2 linked regions of the Lonchura striata genome follow. The protein of the gene in region 2 interacts with the protein of the main gene of each other region in a pairwise test. Links are inferred from orthologs where the notes say so. Each region holds a gene or a part of one and is shown on either strand. Other genes may lie near its edges.

Region 1 (9,960 bases), on a different chromosome or scaffold from region 2:
TGCTCCATAAAGAAGATCACCTGCAAGTAATCAGGAGGTTTTTCCTTTGAACTTACTGCCCAGAATGTGCAGAAAGACCCATATTATAAGAAAATCAAATAATCACAATTTTTTCTATTGTAATAAACTACATAAAAGCTTTGTTCTTTTGCTTTGTTTTAATGGAACTACTGAAGACACTAAAACTGCCTCAAAGAACACTGTACATTTTACAGCAGGAAACATTAAGCTACAGCTGCTGGAACTCCCAAAGGTCAGTGATAAGCCAAAGAACAGCCTTATCAATTTTTTTTTAATTGTGATTTCCATCCATAATTACATCTCTCTGCTACGTAAGCCTATGCTGCTCACACCTAATCCTGCCTCTGCCTAAAACCAATCCTACTGTTCCTTTCCCCTGTTGGCGAGCAGCTTTGGTGAACAGCAGACACTACAGATGGAGGTTGGGGCTGTCCGCTCACACTGTCGGGGTGCTGTCGGTACTACGGCCCATCTCCGGTTCAGTCCTGCGTACTTCCCAACAGTCGCCATGCCGACTGCCCACACAGGTGAACTCGTCTGGATGGGATAAGAGAACTAGAACTTGTGGGGGGAAAAACCCCGTGAAACCTTGCTCATAGCCTAACACAAAACAAGTAGTCTCAAACATCTCGCCTAAGTCCGACCTCATTCCAGCTCGGGGTTTTGCTGTTGCCCAGCACACCTAGCGCTGTCTCCCTGCGCGCTGCACCTGGTCCCGGCCCACGCAGCGCTCGGGTTACCGAGCCGGGAACGCAGCACTGCGGGCCGGCCCCGCGGCAGGTAACAACCATCGCGTCGGACACGGTGGCGAAGGAAGCGGCCTCCCACCCCACGGGCCGGGGAGGCAGGCGGGGCAGCCGCGCCCCGGGACCCGCGCCCCCAAGCCCCGGGCCCGAGTCGGGCCGAGGGGCGGCCCTACCTCCTCCCGCAACGCCCGCTCCTGGTCCACCTCCCGCTGCAGCCGTCCCGCCCGCTCCTCGGCGGCGTCCGCCTGCTCCTGCAGGCTGCGAATCTTCCTGCGCACGGCCTCGAGCGAGCTCATCGCCGCCATGCCCGCACCTCGCCCAGCCCGCGCCACCTCCCTCCGCAGCCCCGGAAGTCCCCCCGCGCCACAGCGCTCCGGGGCGGGGCTGTACGCTCCGGCACCGGGCTGCGAGCGGGGCGGGGACGGAGGATGGTCCAGCCGTCCTAGGGATGGGCTGGTCCTGGCCGGGGATCGGTCGGCACCGAACCGGGATGGGCCGGTCGTAGCAGTGAATGGGCCGGCCCTGCCCGGACCGACCGCGGTTGGGCCGGTGGTGACTGGGGATGGGCCGCTCCTGACTGGGGCCGGGCCGGTCCTGTCGGGGCCGGGCCGGTCCTGCCGCAGCGCGGCCGTGCCCGGTGGATGTGTCGGGCAGCAGCGCCGCCTGGCGGCACGGTGCGCGAGGTGCCCCGGACCGGACCGGACCCGACCCGGGGTCAAGGCCCACCTTCCCCCCGCAAACCGCCCCCAGAGGAGCGTCAGAAAACGACATCGAAGAACCCGCCAGATGCTGCCGCACCCGGCCTGGCTCCTGAGACACGGGGAGGGGAGAGGGGGCTGCAGCTGCCCCCTCTCTGGTGGGGTGGCTCCGGGGATGAGTCATATGGGACAGGTAATATTTTCTCGTCCCAGTCAAAGGCGAGTCCATCTCAGCGAGCCGACATCCCTCTCTGCCTCTGACCTTTTCCAAAGGCTCGGAATTATCCAAACTAATAAGGTAAATATTGGGTCAACTGCAATGCCCCAAATATACTCTTCATTGCCAAAAAAAAATCCCTAAACTGTCAAGACATACTCCATACATACAAATAAATAACGTATTTACCTCGAAGAAAACATGCCAGACACTCTCCCACCCTCCACCTCAATTAAATAAAATTACCCTCAACTAGCTTCGAAACACTGTTTTCCAGCAGGGGCAGGAGGCATGGGGATCAGTTAGGAACATCCTTAGTTTCAGAACAGGAATCTAGTAGCATTTCTCCTGCCTTCATCTTAGGCAAGCTATTTCCAAATAGTCTGCATACTTTTCCATATAAGGAATATCTCCCTTGGATCTATATGCGGCTCCTTTGAACAAGCTAAATAAATGTCCTGCTAGGAAGCTGCCTCTCCTATGGCAGCCTGCACAGAGCAGACATCTGATCCACATTATACACGGATCCCTCTCCCTTGTTCCTTTGAACACTTCTGTTTGTTAAGTTCTTGGGTTCTCTTTCAAAACTATATATCTTAGTTGCCATACTGAAGCTAAATCTTTTCTTTCTTTATTCCTTTTAGAAATAAAATAAGATAAAAGCATATTGTCTTCTATGCAAAGTTGTTGTTTGTAACGTTTCCATTTTTGAAAGTATCCTTCCTACCCCTGAAATACTTTGCTTGCTTCACTTGAGGCAACTCCTTTTCATTTTGGCTTTGAGGTTGGCTTTTAGAGCTGAGCTATAGGAAAAGGAGGGTCATTGCTTTGGAAATACTGCAGTTTCATCTAATCCTGTAATTCAGACCTGAGATTTACTCAAGGAGAATTAAATTGTCCAACAGCAGCAATAGAGACCAAGACCTTAACTGCACAGACTATACTCTTATGGTTCCATGCATGCGATCCATTAAATGCATGTCAGGAACAGACAGGTGGGTGGGATGAGGGCCTGGGAGAGGCACAAGCTCTTGCCTTATTACCATATAAAGTGCTGAGCTATATATATCTCTCAACTTGCTCCCAGGATCCCTGTCCTATGAACTGCAAAACTAGCAAGTATCATCTTCCAGACATTTTTCTGTCACACAAGACAACTTTTCTTTGACAAGTGAAGCAGTTCCACTGATTCCAAGGGAGGGGGGAGGCGGGGGGAAGCAGGAGAGAACCTTTTATCTCAGGGGCCAGTGAGCCAAGCCAGTATCTACCAGCAGTTCTAACACATGCATACCTAGCAACAGCTGTCTTGAAAACAGAACTAGCAGTCCTTGCTCTTCTGGATCTCCCTCTCCTGCACCTACTCACTATTAACTCTCTGCTTCTGTTTCACTGTCAAGACAGTGTTGTTCCAGCCTGAGCCGTTTTACCCATCATCTGAATAGATAAATCACCATTTCTTTACTTTCACATCTCGAGTGGCAAGTACACATAAAAAGCACACATCAAGTGAGCAAAAACCAAATCAGACGCCTCTGATAGTGTGCAAACCTCATGCAGGGAGGCAGTGCTGTGTTTCCCACCTCCCTGTCCAGGAGGTGCCTGGACTCTGCCTTCAGCAAAGCTTTGCAGTGCTGCTGAGTAGGAGTCCAGGCTGTCCTGAGCAGAGGGAGTGTGTGGTTTCTCTTTCGGGCTTGTGGCGAAAGGGATGGGGGTAACTTACATCTGTGGCCTTTTTGTCAGCCAGTTCCAACTTTTCCTGTGCATCTTTAAGGGACTCGGAGTATTTGTCCAGCTCATCCTCAGTGGCCTTCAGCTTCTTTTGTAGAGCCACCAGCTCGTCCTCCAGCTGTGATATGGGTGGAAAGTGGTGGAGAGGGGAGGGCGGGCAGGAAAAGGTGCAGCAGGCAGCGTGATCGTGCAAACGGAGAGGTGTGAGTGCAGAAGAGACAGAAAAGGACAGACAGAGAGAGAAAGAAGGAGAGACAGTTAGATCCTCTTTGCTTGCAGCAAGGGCACAATACCTTGGCAGCATTCTCCTCTGCGGAGAGGAGGCTGTCCTCAGACTTGTGTAGCTCTTCCAGCACTTGGTCCCTTGTATCCTCCGTCCCACGCAATTGCTTTTCCAATTGCACAATGTCATCCTCTAACTAGGTGCACAAGAGGAAATATAATGCACAAGTATGTTTCTCCCTTGGCTTAGAAAACTGTGAAACTAATTTATAAATCACTCTTCCTTTCTCCCTCCTCCTTCAGGATCTCCTAGAAACGTGCAATCGATGCACCCCCCTCCCCGAATCGAGAAGTCCCAGGGGGGTTGAAGAAGGACAAAAAGGTGGGGCATGCGTCCGGAGAAGGGTGGGAGGGCAGCTGGAATCGGACACATCTGCTGAGGGATGATGGAGTGGGCAAACACAGCTTTAACTGTCCTTTGCCAAATCGCCGCACATCTGTCCAGTGCTAATCAGGCGTTCTGGGCAGCCTCCCTAAGCCGTCCCCCTGTGACAAAGGCACAGAGGCCACGCAGCCGTCCCGAGGCCCTGCTCCCTAGCTGGAATGGTGGGGAATGGTTCCCGCCGCGCCCCCGGGAACCTCCAGCCGGTGGCTGCCAGGCTGAAGCTCTGCCTTAGGGAAAGTTCAACCAGTTCTGCAGGGGCGCGGGGCTGCAATATAACAAAGTATGGTGACGGGGGAAGAATAGGGGAGGAGGTAAAAAAAAAAAGAGAATAGTCTGGAAAGATTTGCGCCCCGGCGCTCGCTGCGCCCGGGCCCTCGGTGCAGACCTGCTTGCTTCTCTCCTCCGCTGCCTTCTTGTCCGCTTCGGCTTGCTCGGCTCTGTCCAAGGCGTTCTCCTTGTCCAGCTTCAGCATCTGCATCTTCTTCTTGATGGCATCCATGGTGGCGGTGGGCTAGAGCGCGTCCCCGTGCGAACTGCTTCCGAAAGAAAAACTTTAAAAGTTGCGGGACAGCCCCGAGTCCGGACGCAGGCCCCCGGGGGAGCGGAGTGCAGCTGCCGGGCGGCGGGGTTGATCCGTGCGGGACGGGGCACAGCCGAATGCAAGCGGCGGGCAGGGAGCGCCTCACAGATATGTACTTTCCCAGGGGGCTGACTGCATTCCTCAAGACATCCAATACTTTTTTGGAAAGGGCTTCTTTTCTTCCCTCCCTCCCTCCTCCTTTCGTCCCTACCCCTTTCCCTCTCTCACTGCCCCCGGGTTTTTTTTGGGAGGCACAGCCTTCCCATTCGCTGCCGCCTGCCATTTGACCGCAGATATGACTATATATGGGATGCGATGGGCGAGGTAAGGCGGGGGAGCAATTTGTTCCCATTTCTAAATAGGCAGGACGGGACATTTCGCTGCTACTCCCGGGAGGGGAAAAAAAAAAAAAAAAAAAAGGCAGCAAGACGGAGCGAGGGGAGCTGAAGAGACGGGCGCGAAGGCTGCTCGCAGCGGGCAGGGTGTCTGGGTGACACCGGCCCCACGCGGGAGCCGTCCCCACCCGTGGAAATCAATCTGTTCTACAGCAGGAGGGTGGCGGAGCCGATCGCATCAGGCGGCAGGGGAAGGCGGGCCTGCGGGGCACGGGGGTTTGCAGGACGGGCAGTAGGGGGTTAATCGCATGCACGTACGGAATGAATGCGTTCCGAGACCTCCCCCCGGCAGCCGGAGGAGCAGAGGAGGAGGGGGCACCTCTCCTCAACAGCCGGGCCGCAGCAAATGTGCCCATGCAGAGCCGGGCACGAAGCCCGGCCTTTGGGATGAGACCCGGGCAGGGCTGGCCTTCCGCCGGGACCCACACCGAGGGGAAGGGGCCGAGCAGTGCCGGGACAGGGCAGAGGTGCCAGCGGCTGCCCGTGCTTCCGAAGTGCACCGCTCTCCTCTGCAGTACCTGGCCGGGGCTCCTGGCCCTGCAGGGAGATGCGCCTCGGTACTGCGCGCTCAAGGGCGCAAGGAGGAACAGAAAAGGCGGACGGGAGCTACTGCGACCCTCAGCGGGAGCAGTGGGAAACCTGCCCTGCCGGGGGTATCCAGAGCTGCGAGGGAAGGAGCCCAGGAATAGCTGGGGCAGGGAATCTAGCTACAGACGTGACTTGCACCCTTTCGTAATGCCAGTGAGGGACAGCAACAGATAGACAATTAACAAAATTGCATATAATTAAGTGAAGACCTATTTAATTCACTTCTGGCGTGTCTCTCACAGTCTCATCAGCAGAGTGAGCAAGACACGACACGTCCTCAGGACGCACGCTCCCTTGTACAGCGTAGAAAGTACAGGGATGTGCATAAGTCCCACAGGATGTGGGTTGCACAAAGAGAAAATTAGGCAGCCTTTGTCTACACTCAATACTTGTAGCAGAAAATTCCTCCGTGGTGCTGTCACTGGATCAGCTGAACTGATGTGACTTTGCAGGAGGAGGGAATGTCCTACAACTTCTGGCCCATGGTGCTTATCAGGGCAGTTAAGGGCTTGATTTGCCGAGCAGACCTTGGAGGCCAGTTCCTGGAGAGCTTAAACAAAGCTTCAGCTCTACAAGATAGCAAAGCCCCCTGATGAAGACCAACAGTTACAATCCCCAGGTCCTCAGAAAGGCCATAATCTGAATTAACCTAGGAACTATACAAAATTCAGAGGCTCACAACTTGGAATGGGGATTCATGTGTGCTGCTCCTAGGGAGCAGAAGTCCACTGTTAAAATAGCTTTCCTTATGCCTACTTAAAGAAAAGACATTTATCACTGCAGTCCTTTCTCACTCCATTGATTTAATAACCAAGCTAGTACAACAGTAAAAATTATTGAGTAAAACATTGCACTATCACAGAATGTTTTAAAACACAAGAGTATTAAAAAAGTACAGATTTAGTCACAACCAACTCTAAAGTGTAGTTTTTCTCTTTGCACTTACTTTGATTTCACACTACAGTCAGTAAAGATTAGGGCCTTTCTGAAATAAGTATAGTGAATATTTAAAAGATACCTAGTTACATATTGTTCAACAACCTGACGTCTTTGTTAAATGTATCAGTATGTTTTAACCCTAGTTTAGGAGAACATTTTCCTCTGCCTTAAAAAACATAGAGTATCATTGTTGGGAATTCACTGAGGTAGCTCTTCTCACTTTGGGGAAATAAAATATCTTGCGAAATTAAGCAAACAGCTGTCTGGCTAATTTGGGAGGGGTGCACAGGCTCTTAAAAGAATGCCTGTGCAGCTCCTGTTTGAGTTTTCTGAAAGAATATTAGTCACGACATGGGAGCCTCTAGGATACAGAAGAAAGTATGAGATACAGGTAGAAGGAACACAAAGTTTAAAAAAAATACCTGCAGGATGGTATCACCTCCACAGGAAAAAAAAAACCAAAAAACATTGAGGTTCTACTTACATGAAAATGTGCAGTTAATAAGTTTGTTTATAGCAAGATGACCTGTATCCAAGGGGCTGAACTGGCTGATGTTGATTTAATTTTTGTTTTCCTCCTGGAGAGAATATGAAAAGTACAGACATGTGTTAACATGCTTGCTATACCTTTCATTAACAATTTCAATTACTTGGAAACTTCTGTTCCAGCTGGCCAAGAAAGATAGGCTTAGAAATTAAATAGCTTGTATAGTCTCTCCCTCTTTAATTGATATGTGAAGACAGATTGTATGCAAATTATTTTTAATTACTGAAAGAAGAAGGCAGCACAAACTTTGCTTTTATGACATAGTACAAATTCTCTATTACTTGTCACCTCTTTTTTCAGCACAATGGCTTGGCTCATCTCATCAATAAATGGTGCAGGAACTCCCTAGCAATAGTTTCACTTTCTTCTGGGGAATACCTACTGAACTATTTTTGAATTCTGTTAATTTAACTGGGCTCTTCAGAAAATCAAGACAGCAAACTCAAAGCACCAAGAAAGGATACCTGGTTTTAAAATTTACAACTCCTTCTGTGAGCAGGTGATGCCACAATTCAGGCTTACTGACAGTACAATACAGAGTAAGGCTGGGACTTGTTTATATAATGATGTTTCTGTCATGTCACCTATCCCTTGACATGGGCAGAAATTTGCCTTGAGGAGGATCTGCTCTTCGAGCATAGATGGGGTTGGTCATAGGGGGTTGATTCTGGTAACAGACAAAAGGGTAGGTGGACATAATCACTTGGAAAAATTTCAAACAATGCCTTTGGAGTTGCTTTACCTACTTACTCTTCTCCTGGGTCTCTTTTTGCTTTGGGTTGTGGGTTGGGGTTTTTTTGTGTGGGTCTTTTTTTTTTTTTTTTTTTTTTTTTTTTTAGGAATATACAGGAAATGACACCTAACAACTGGTTCTGCCAGTTCTATAAAACATGCCTCCTAAAAAACTAGTAAGGATTCAAGTTAGGTCAGTCAGAGTGAACTCACAGGCCTGTATGTCATTTGAAAAGTGTAGTGTTCCCTCACATGGAGGCAAATATAAATGAAATATAAACCAATTTCTCAAAGGTCTCTGAGACCTCTGCTGCCCTTGTAAAACAGCAATGTTCCTTTTGGATAAAGGGAGCCAACAATATGAGTGTAGGATATTATAAGAAAATAGGAAATTGAAAACATCTGTATTCACCTAGAAAAACAAATAAAATAATACTGATGAAATCAGGTAGGTTTTACTAGTACAGTCAGTGTATTTTATCCTGTAAGGATCTCCAAGAGCTTTGCACTAAAAAAATTGAGGGACAATATTTCTGAAAGAAGCATAAAAAGGGCAAATTTCTCCTGGGGAAATTGGTCATCTATGCTTCAGCCATAAGGGGAGAGAAAGCCCTAAAACAGAAGGTAGGAATCCCAATGGCCAGTGCTCTGCACAGCTCAGTAGGCAGCAAACAAGTACAGAAATACTCCAGAACATGCCAGTCATGCTTAATTCATGCTGTAACTCTGTAAAAGGTTTTCAGTACCATTTCCTAGGTAATGGTGGAGAACAGTTTAGCTTTTGTGATTAAGAACTATGAGATGATTTGTTGGAAAATTAAGATTTAAATTATTTTAATAATTTTCCTCTTCTGAACTAATGTTTCTGTTTGGCTTGTCATTCAAGAAATTAGTGAACTCCTTAAGTAAAAATGTATTTATAGCACAGTCTTCTGCACCTGCCCTGATCTATAATCTGAGGGTCTACTCAGATACCACACCAAATGCTAAGAAGCACATGACCTAACTCATGACCTAAGATCTTAAAATAGCTCTGAGAAGGTCTTTTTTATTTTTTCCCTAAGACTCCTTTCACTCTAATTGCACTACTGTTATTTGCTAGATTTCAGCTGAGCAAACATGTCTCCCAAGTTTTTGTATTATGCTTTCTTTTAAAATCAGATTTGCTTTAGCTGGTAGTTAGGAGTTACTAATGTCATTCTCTGAAAAACATCTACAAAAAACAAGTAACAGAAAGACAAAACCCAAATTTCACTCTTGGTATGATGTTTTTCTACATATTTCTCTTTATAGCTTCAGACCAAGAAAAGATTAATAGATAATTTATAACTGTTTGTCTGTATTCATATATTGTTGGATTTATGTCCCACTCAGTGAAGTCTCAAGTCATTTACTTAAATCTGACTGAAGTAATCTTCTATTTTAAAAGTGTTTTAAAAACAGACTTTAAAAAGAATACCCAGTCCATTTTGATTTAGAGTATAGTATTGTGCCATAGAAAAGAACAGTGAAAAGGCCAAGTAACAGAAAAAGACAATTAACATGCAATGAGGGGAAAAAAAAAAAACTACAATCAACTTTACCCAAGCACCAAACTGAAAAGAACTGTGAATCAACAAATCAAAAAAGAAGCAACTCTTCTGGTGAGAGTCCACTCCTGACCTGACAGTGGTGCAGAAATTGCATTAAAGTTTGTGATCTCCTCTGATTTACACTATCCCAAATGACATCAGACCCAGTTCTACTGAATGCAATTGAGAAAAAGTTGTGGACAACAAGAAGGCCAATACCTTCAAAGGCAGAGTTCCATCCTTGTGAACCAGTTCATTTGCCAGTGCTTTGAGCTATATATAGATAAATACACTATCACTGTAACATCTGCTGCCATATCTACAAGACTACAAGGTGTCCTGAAATTTAGCTTTGCAGTTTTGTTGGGGATTTCTCCTTAGCAGAACAAAGAGCAACTACCATTGCATACCTCTAACAGATTTGTGTTACTGATCTTACTGGTACAGTAACATGTGAGAGTAGAACAGAGCAGGAATGAAAAATAGGAAACAAGAAATCTGACTATATTTCTGATGTCCACCTCTTGATAC
Region 2 (9,665 bases):
TGCTGCATTCAATGGTTTTCCAGTTATATACTTAGTGAGTTTGGACATTTATTCATGGAAAGCAGATTTATTCTGTTCTTCTCCTGGACTTGGACAAAGGCCAGCATATTTCATCCTCCAGGTGACAGCCATAAAGGTACAAGAGTAACTCTGGGAGAGGCAGTCACAGGAGCCATGATGAAGTATCTCAGTGACAGTGTGCAGTCCTGTCCTGAAGCATCCCAGGAGTCCTTAACTTGGTGCCTGGAGTCTTTGAGTTCTGGGTTCCTCTAGGCTGCACAGAGCAGCCAGAACAGCCGTGGAATGCAGCTCCACCGCCTGGCAGAGCCAGCGTGCCAGCAGCAGAGATTCCCCAAGCACACTGTGCCCTGTCCTTGGGCTGTTCTCATCCTCCATGGACAAGGGATTTGGATCAGGGGACCTTCCCTGGACACCTGCCCAGTGCTACCTGAAGCGTAAACCCATCCCTGCAGCCACAAGCAGGACACTTGCACAGCCCCAGCTGCAAGTTTTAACCCAGTGCTCCTACTTAGTGGGGAAGAAAATATCGACTTCTCACTCCTTGAACAACCTTCAGTAACTTTGGTAATGGACTGTACTTCATCCCCTCAGCTCACACCTCACAAAAACTGAACAATTTCCATACATACTTCCTATTGCAAAAGCAATTTCCAATTGTGTCACTGACAGAGGAACATTTTGGTTGGAACACTCCAAACGCTGAGCTAGTCCTTGTACACAGACAGGAAATACCAGCCAAAACAGCAACTTTAGTAACAGAGTTTGCATTTCCTAGTTCTTGCCACCTTGTGCCTTTTTTCCTCCCCTTAAAACTACTCCAAAACACATGAGTGTTCCACACTTGGCAGAGGGGTATGTGTTGGGGAGGGGTGTGAACGTGTCCTCTGAGTATCCACTCTGGTCTGGGCACAGGAAATATTCTGCACAGCTGCACATCAACAGAAACTTACTTAGATGAATCATGGAATATACAGGCTCTTTCCGTCCCCCTGCTTGAGGCCACTCCCCACAGATTTTAAGGCAAAACAAGACACTATTAGTGATGTATCTGTGCCACATCCAGAGCCAGGAGTGTAAAACCAATTATCTGTTCTCAGCAGCAGCCTTGTGACTGGTTTCAGGCTTCCAATCACAATGAAGATAGATTAATTTGATTCAAATTTGGAAGGAACAAGCAGACTGCAGCATGGGCCTAACTGGAGACCACAGGGGAAACTTACTGGCTGGAAGGTCTTTGTAAGTAAAAATGGGCAGAAGGACATCAAGTCTGAGTGAAAAAGGGACAATAGATCTGCAGTCAGCAGAGCACTTCATCACTTCCAAGTGCCCAAAGCAGCCAAATTTAGTCTGTGCAGTCACCCTCAGCCCTATCAGTGACATTGAAACACTCGTGCTCCCAACATCATCATGCAATGTCCAGCACAGCACTCACTCCCACCATGACTCTGCAGTTAGAGCAAAGTGATTCTGCACCTGCACATTCCTGGAGAAAACATTTGAATAGTTCATGTCTCAATATAGTTTTAGAATTTTTTCCCAGGTTCATGCACTGTTTTATAGGCTCTTAAAGTGATTTACTGACAAATGTGAAGGCTGCTTTATTCAGAGTGAACAGTCAACACAACTTTACATTTTGCCATTTACTACAGAAATGATACAAAACCTCCAGATACCAGAGCAGGTAAGTACAAAAATGCAGAACACCCAGACTTCTCTGGATTTGTTGATAAAACAAAAGAAACCCCCAAACCACCACAATTTCTGCCTTCTTCCCTCCTTTCTTCTGAGGGTTTTACTTTCAAAGCAGCTATTACATTGCACATTTGTATGCCCTCACTTCCTCTATCCATTCAGTAAACAAACAGCCCCTGGATACTGTAGGGAATCAAAGGGTCCATGGAAGAGGCTCAACATCAACCTGAACTACAACCTTAAAAAAAAAACCTGTTGATCAAGTAGTACATGAAATTATCTAAAATCCTACATCCCTTTTCCAAAGGTTCCTTTCTGTCTCTCCTAAACCAGGATGACACCAATGTGTAATGGCACAGTGACAGTCACTTTTGCATGACATGGCAGCTTCCAGGTTCAGGACTAGTCACTGAGTTCCAGGTCATACTCAGGATAGAGCTGTTTTGTAGTGACCCCTCGGATAACAGCTAGGAAATAAAAAAACAGCATTGCTTTCATTAAACAAAGATCATGGGAGTCAGAAACGTGGTGTTTTCTTTCCCTAATTATCCCATAGCACATCCTATAGCCAAGAAACCCAAGGTTTTGCAGCTATGCCTCCTGCATACCCAAACACTTTTTTAAAAGTGAAGAATTGTAACACAAGCTTTGCTTCCATAGTAGCAGCTTCTTTCTGTATGAAAACACTGACTAAAAAGGTCTTGAACAGCTTTCCCTTTCTTACCTAGCTTGCCCAGGAGCATTTGCCCAGCATCTTTGATTTCATTGTATTCATGGAGCAGAGAGATGTGCTTGTCCAGTTCCTCCAGGCTGTAGCCCCTGTAAAATAACACCAGGAAGGTCAGAAATGACACAGGGGGACTGGGATTTCCTGCTGCTGTGGGGGACACCAAGCCTGGAACCTCAAAAGCAGACTCAACACAACAGAGTGCAGTTCCTGCAAGTCCTAAACATGAAGATCTACACAAGCTCAAGAAAGCCAATGCACCCAAGTTCTCAGAATCAAGTAGAAACAAGAGTAGGCTGTGGTGAATTCCTTTGATACGTATCTCTAATCTGTATATAGGGAAAAAATTAAGAATCGTAGAATCATTTAGGATGGAAAAGACCCTCAAGAGCATCAAGTCCAACCTTTGGCTAAGCACCACCATACTGACTAAACCAGAACACTTCGTGCCATATCCAGTCATCTCTTGAATACCTCCAGGGATTGTGACTCCATCACCTCCCTGCCAGCCCAGCCCAATGTTTAATCACCCTTTCAGCAAAGAAATTCCTCCTGATGTCCAACCTGGAGTTCCCCTGGCATAGCCTGAGGCCATTTCCTCTTGTTCTGTTGCTAGGTTTGTTTACCCTTGAGGATAAATAAAAAAGAGTTCTGGAACAGCCTTTGTTGTTCTACCATTTCCATCCTATGCACCACATTTACCTTAGAAAATATAAGTCTAACACAACAAATAACAAGTGGCTAAAATTATCTGTTCCCAGTAAACACATAATTACCTCAGGAACACCCAGGCTAAAACAAAAATCCTCTTATGCAAGCTCCCAGTAAAACTTGTTTTGCTTTACCACACAAAGTGGAAAGAATTCCCTCTTGTCTCTAACAAGTCCCATCACTTACAACACTGTAACCAACATTGCACCATACCAACAACAGCATCACAGAAGGTCAGCTCTCAGCTCCAATTCCTGGATCACATTCTATTTTAAAAACAAAAATAATTAAGGCATCAAGTAAACACTGAGCTTGCCAAGGACGTACTCTGACAATAATTGTGCAATTTCCTGGTCTAGAGCAAGGTTTTTCTGTTTCAGCTCTTTGATTTCACACTGCAGGGCTTCTTCGCTGGCTCCATTAAGCTGGAAGGACTTTGGAGATGGGATCTGTAGAACACAGAAGACACGTAGCAGGAACTCAGCTCTGGGTAAGATGTTACAATGCTGCAGCACTAATGTGAAAATAGCGTACATGTCACTTGATAAAACAGGAGAAAAGGAAAAAAATATCCCCAGGGTGGGCGGGGAGGGGGGTTCAAATAAAATGTGCATTAGTGTACATAACACTAGTGTGCTCCATACCACATCTAACCACACTTTCGAGAGCTACACTGTAAAGTGAAAATAAATAATTCAAATAAAATATATTAAAAAAATATTAAAACAAAAGAATTAAAATCACAATGTGCCTTTTAGGAGAAACTCCCAGCACGACACAGTGCAAACTGCAGTGCTGGCGCTAACCCGGGGAACCCTCAAGGGAAAGCCCTCCCCACCGGGCAGGGCCGAGCCCCGCCAACGAGGGGACTCGTTCCCCGGGGCAGCCCGCGCAGGACTCACCGGTGCCCTGAATCCGGCCGTGCCGCCCCGCCGGCCGCCGGCCCTGGCAAAGCAGAGGGCGCCGCGTCAGGGGCCGGTACCGGCACCCGCCGCGGCGGGGACGCGGCCCGGGAGGGGGGGCAGCGGGGAACGGCTCCTACCTCCTGGGAAGGGCCCGCGGCGGCGGGCGGCGGGGCGGGCTGCGGCCCGCGGCCGGCGGGACCCGCTCGGCCAGGGCTGAGGGCTCCCGCTGCAGGCTCGGAGCTCCCGCCACACCGGAGAGGGGGAGTCCCCTCGCCACAGAGAACGCCGGGAGTTGTAGTCCCCCCGCCACAGAGAACGCCGGGAGTTGTAGTCCCCTCGCCACAGAGAACGCCGGGAGTTGTAGTCCCCTCGCCACAGAGAACGCCGGGAGTTGTAGTCCCCTGCCGGGCCCGACCGTGGTGGGGCTGCAGGTGACATTGGGTGTGGCAGGACACAATTGTCCCCCGAGGGCCGCAGGCGAGGTGGTGACATTTGGTCCTTCAGAGACATCTCAGCACCGTGCCTCAGCTGGGACGGGGGCTCAGGAGATTTCGAGAATCATTGAATCAATCTGGTTCGAAAAGACCTCGAGTTCGAAAAATCACTCATGTGATGGAACACCATCATGCCAACCAGACACGGCCCTGGGTGCCATGTCCAGTGTTTGCCCGTAGCCACCGCTGCGATGTTGTTTTCGCAAGGTGAGCACTGCCCACTCCCCCGCTTGTCCCTGTGTCCCACCGGGCCCCTCAGCTCCCCCCGAGTCCCGCACAGAGGCTCGGACAGCGCTGGAGGCCCCGTCCTGCCGCAGGGAGCGTGTCCCTGTCAGCGCCGTGTCCCAGAGCCGGAGCTGCCCGAGCCTCAGCTGCTGCCGCGCTTGGAAGGTCAAAGGATTTGGGATCACACAGAACGACCCTGCCGCCTGCCCTGCGCGCGGGATCAGCCTCGGACACCAAGGGCGGGACAGCGAGGGGAGCCGGGCTGCCCCTCCCGGCATTTGCGCTGGGCTGCCGGGTCGCTACAGCAGCGGGGCAGAGCCCGGTGTCACACGGGGAGCGCGGTGTCCCGCGGTGTCCCGCGGTGTCCCGGGGCCGGGCTGTCCCGGCGGGGCCGGGCTGCCCCGCGTGTCACCCCGGGGTGTCCCGGGGCGGAGCGGGGCCGGCCGGGGGCGGAGCCGCCGCCGCTGCTGGCGGGCTGACGTGGCCGGGGCGCGGGGCGGACATGGCGGACGGCAGCAGGCAGAGCCGGTTGGCCGCGGCCAAGAAGAAGGTGAGGGGCCGGCGGTCCGGGCGGGACGGGGCACGACGTGACGGAGCGGGGGCGGCTGCGCTCCGCGGGCCCCGCGCGGGCCGGGCCGGGCCGAGCCGAGCGCGGCCTCCCCGCGGGCCGGGCCGGGCCGCCCCCTCGCTTCGGGCCCGGGAGGCTGCGGCTCTCCGGGGCTGCGGCCCGGCCTTCTCGGCGGGCGGCCGGGGCGAGGCCGGGCCTGGGTGGCTGCGGTGCTGCCAGGGTTCCCCGGGCTGCTGTGCGGGTGTCGTTGTCCCCCCCGCCTTCCTTTTTCCCCGTATTTTTTCCCTCGGGGCGGCCCGGCTGCCTGCGTCCCGGCGGGATGCGCTTCTGTGTCAAAGTCACGGAAACGGGAAAGTGTCCTGGAGCAGTTCAGGCTTCCATTTTGAAATCCTACCAATAATGGGATCCTCCTCCGTCCTTCTCCGTGCCCCGCTGCCCCGCCGTGCCTGCCCGGGGTGTGCGGGCCGGGGGTGCCGTTGTTTGCATAAACAGCTGCCGGCTCTGGGGCTCGGGCGTGCAGGAATTGCACAGAAATGCCGGCAGACCTGGAGGGATTCGAGTTACATCTTATCAGACCGGCACTTCCTGGGCGAAGTGGATGCGATTAAAAATCATTTGTAGATTGTTTCTCCCCTTAGCTTGCAGTTGTTGCAGTGTCTGCTGTGGGGATTGCAACTGTCCTTCATAAAATCTTCCGTGGAGTGGAAAATACTACTATCAGGCAGTGCTTTCTCACTTTGCATGTAGGATTAATTGCCCTTTATTACTTTTGCCTCATTGCTCTTACTTATAACCTTGAAATCCCGCAAACCAGTGCTTTCAATCTCCTTTTAGTTGTACTGTAGAGTGTGAAACAATTTCCCAGGAACAGCATTGGCTGTAAACAAAAGTTGAATGTTTACAACTCTTGTCATAAACCCATCACTTTGGTCTTAACTTTAGCCTTCTCTGGGCTTATTTTGATTCCCGTTTTTATCCCATATCGATAAATTAATGGAAGAGCATTCCCCTTGTCCTTACACTTGATCTGTATTTTTACCAGTGAAGTTAGTTTTGAGGGGTCTTTGAGGTTATAGAAGGCATATATTGTTTGGACTTCAGATTTGTCTTCTTCTGTTCACAGCTGAAGGAATATCAGCAGAAGAACAGCCCTGGAGCCACTGCAGGAACTAAGAAAAAACGCAAAACTAAAGAAGGCAGCAGACCTGCCACTCCCACCACTGATGACCAGCAGCCTCCAGAGAATGTGAGTGTCTCTTTCTGCGAAATCATTTGCCACCTCCCTCTTCTTCAGTTTTCTGGACAGTCTGACCGGAGCTGGAAGTGGTTGTGCTGGGGTAAGAGCTGAGTGGTGTAGGTGCTGTATGAGGTGCCTGCTCTGGAAGGTGCAGCTGGCATTGGAGGCTGTCCAGTGGTGCCCTGGGTGTGCCCGGAGCTGCTGGGCTGAGGCGTGTGGTTCCCACGAGCTGGATGAGGATGGTTCCTTGGCTGCCTTGGATTGATGTTTTCTCTCTGTCCTTCTCTGAGCCATTTCTCTTTCCCCTTTTCTTTCGCTTCCTGTAGATTCAGAACATTCTGAAGGTGCTGGTGTCAGACCTTAACCGCTCCAATGGGGTAGCCATACCCTCATTGGACAAGAGGAAGGTGAGGCAGTGCTTGTGTCCCTCGCAGTGACTCGCTCTCCCTCCTGCATGTCTGGGTTCTGTTCACACTGAGCTCCATCTCCCAGGATGGAGCCTTGTCCTCACATATCCATTGTCAGTTGCTTCAGTTTTGTTGCTGTTTTTATTAACATGGAGCTCTTTCTTACCATTGCTTGTTAAGTGCTTGTTTCCTTCTGGTTAGTGTCAAAGTTAACACGTCAAAAAGTGAGCCTTGTCAAAAAGTCTTTCTTGAGACAGCTGAGCTTGGAGGAAAACAGGAATTTGGGGTGAGGCAATAAACTAATTTGTAACAGCTGAGGAAGACTGCAGTAGGAAGAGGTAGTGATTCCTTATTCTGTATTTCTTCTGCTCTTAGTGTCATTGCTTTGTTTTCTGGAGCTTGGTTTCTGAAGGGCATGTTTCTGCTCATCTCCAGGCAAACAGCTGCACTGGCTGGTTATTCCAGCCACCCATTTTATGACAGGCGATGAAGCTGGCACAGGTGATGTACAGTCTGGCAAGTAGCAGGGGTGTAAATATGCTTAGGCAGGAAGTCAGATACTTCAAAGCCAGGCATGTACAGGCTTCAGCCTCTTCACATTCCCAAGATCCTGAAGAGGAAAGGGCAGGAAGTATGCCAAGGAGCAAGAGAAAGGTGCATACGTGAACAGCATTTTAAAACCACTTACTTTCAGACAGTTAGTTTGTTTAAAATAAGGCCCAAACTGTGATAAAACTCAGAGAAGTCAAATTTTGTAGCTGAGAATATTCTTCCAGTTTTGTTGTACCAAAGCTCTGCTTTTCATTTTCACTTGCATCGTTTTGGTAGCTCATTTCCCTGCCATTATTTCAATGTAGTTGTCATAAAGTAGTTAATTGTTATATTAAATGCATATCCATGGGTATCCAGCAATAAATATAACTATAGTAATCACATGGAGTACCTGACAGATAAAGTGAAACCTGCAAGGTGGAATGGAATTCCCTCTGAATTGCCTTTGTATCCTTTTTCCCTTTTTTTTCCTTTTGTGTGATAGTATGTCTGACACACAGAGTGCCACCAGCGGGACTGTGTTGTGTAGGTTCTGTAGCAGCAGAATTCGAGTGATGTGAAGACACACTGCCAGCTTTGGGGTGCTGGGTGTGCCTCAGAAAACTTGTGTTGTGGCTGAAGTGTCACTGTTGTCCTGGAGACTGTTTTCAGTTAGTACTTGTCAGCTCAGAGTAAGTTAAATTTTGGGAAAAGAGACTTGTTTCCCATTGGAGGGTGAAATGAAGATAGGTGGTCCAGTGCTGTTGCTGAGGTGACACTTAGCCTTGCAGTAAAGGCCTACCTGTGTCTACAGCTTTAGTCATGATCTGCACAGGGAGCATCTGTTGCTCTATTCATTCTTGTTTCCCCTTTCTTTTTTTCTCTTCAGAGATACAGTTTGATCTGATTGGCTGTTATGGAATTTTTGGACTGTTGTGCCTAGAGTTTTCAGAATTATTTGAAAACTAGTCTTTACCTGCAATATGTAATGAAAGAACAATTTCTCATTCCAGTTTCTGTCCTGTAAATGTCCTGAGTCAGGAAAATGCTGTTTAGAAACTTGATGCTAATAGGGTAGAAAAGCTGAAAATTGGCAGCTGAGCTGCTGCTGCCATTGGTGTCTCATGTGAGGCAGAGCCCTCCCTTCTCTCTCATTTGAGCTTTCTTGGCTCTGAAACAGAGGAAAACGAGCAAAGTCAAAAGTCTTAGTGTGAAAGCAAATGGATCCTACTACATGCTAAGCTGAGCAGAATTACTGACTTTTTATTCTATATTATTGGAATGTCACAAAGCATAATTTCCATATAAGTGTTTTGCTTCTATTGCTTTCTGTTTCAAACAAATTCAAGTGTTCAAATAGTTTTGGGGTTTTTGACAGTTTATTACAAAACTGCTCCTTGTGAGGAAAGGAGGAAGGAGTTCTTGTGGTTAGGGAACATTACTGGTTTCTGCATCTTGGAAGTATTAGGCAGAATGAATGTTCTGATCAGAAGAAATTATCATTTTGAGATGCACTGGGAAATTAATTCTTCCTGTCCCTCTGATGTTTATATTGATGAGTGTGTGATGGATAAAGGTGAAGTAACCTTTAGCTGGAAGAAGTGAGGGAGTTCCTGACCTTCCTAATAAGCACCTAACATGTATTGCTCCTTCAGAGCATCAGTACCTGTCCTGCTAAAAAGAAATTCAGAAAATTCTTGGTTTTCCCTTTGTAGTCTTCCAACTTACTACCTTCATTAAATCTGTCTCCACTGTTGCTGTTTTAACCTTGCTGCTGGATTAGTGAGTGAAGTGCTGAGCAGGTAAACAGGGAATGCCAAGAGAGAGAGAGAGATTTCTTGATTCCTGTGAAGTGCCAAGAAGGAAGTGACTGAAGTAAAAGGGAACTCTTCCAGGTGGAATTGCAGAGCTGCAATATATTGGTGGGGCTGAATGCTGAGATTATCTCTTTTGTTTTGTTGTGTTTTTAAGTCATGACTTACTAGAGCTGGATGATGAAATCAATCAAATTAGTGTAAAACACAAAAGCACTGCTGGACCTTTATGGCTGTAGTGCTGTGCAAGGAGATGAAATGGGTCAGTGCAGTGTGGCTTTGTAGAGGGGGCTGCAGATGCCATCCATCCTCTCACAGAGGCTGGATGAGAAC

Evidence for each region.
Region 1: the proteins of GOLGA2 (region 2) and uncharacterized protein LOC110483956 interact in binary tests that used the Homo sapiens proteins (3 or more experiments, as listed by UniProt). The two-hybrid records come from large-scale screens. The link is inferred for Lonchura striata from reciprocal best matches to the Homo sapiens genes GOLGA2 and TPM1.

What each region holds. Positions count from the first base shown.
Region 1 is NC_134613.1:7,962,337-7,972,296, forward strand, and holds the start of uncharacterized protein LOC110483956, read right to left. Parts: upstream 4,784-9,960; 5' UTR 4,577-4,783; coding exon 4,463-4,576; intron 3,529-4,462; coding exon 3,403-3,528; intron 1,118-3,402; exon of another isoform or gene 1,073-1,117; coding exon of another isoform or gene 941-1,072; intron 1-940. UniProt on the Homo sapiens protein: Binds to actin filaments in muscle and non-muscle cells. Plays a central role, in association with the troponin complex, in the calcium dependent regulation of vertebrate striated muscle contraction.
Region 2 is NC_134624.1:591,757-601,421, reverse strand, and holds the start of GOLGA2 (golgin subfamily A member 2), read left to right. Parts: upstream 1-5,218; 5' UTR 5,219-5,277; coding exon 5,278-5,325; intron 5,326-6,466; coding exon 6,467-6,589; intron 6,590-6,906; coding exon 6,907-6,987; intron 6,988-9,665. Other genes in the region: DNA repair protein SWI5 homolog, read right to left, coding at 2,116-2,180, 2,438-2,532, 3,479-3,765. UniProt on the Homo sapiens protein: Peripheral membrane component of the cis-Golgi stack that acts as a membrane skeleton that maintains the structure of the Golgi apparatus, and as a vesicle thether that facilitates vesicle fusion to the Golgi membrane.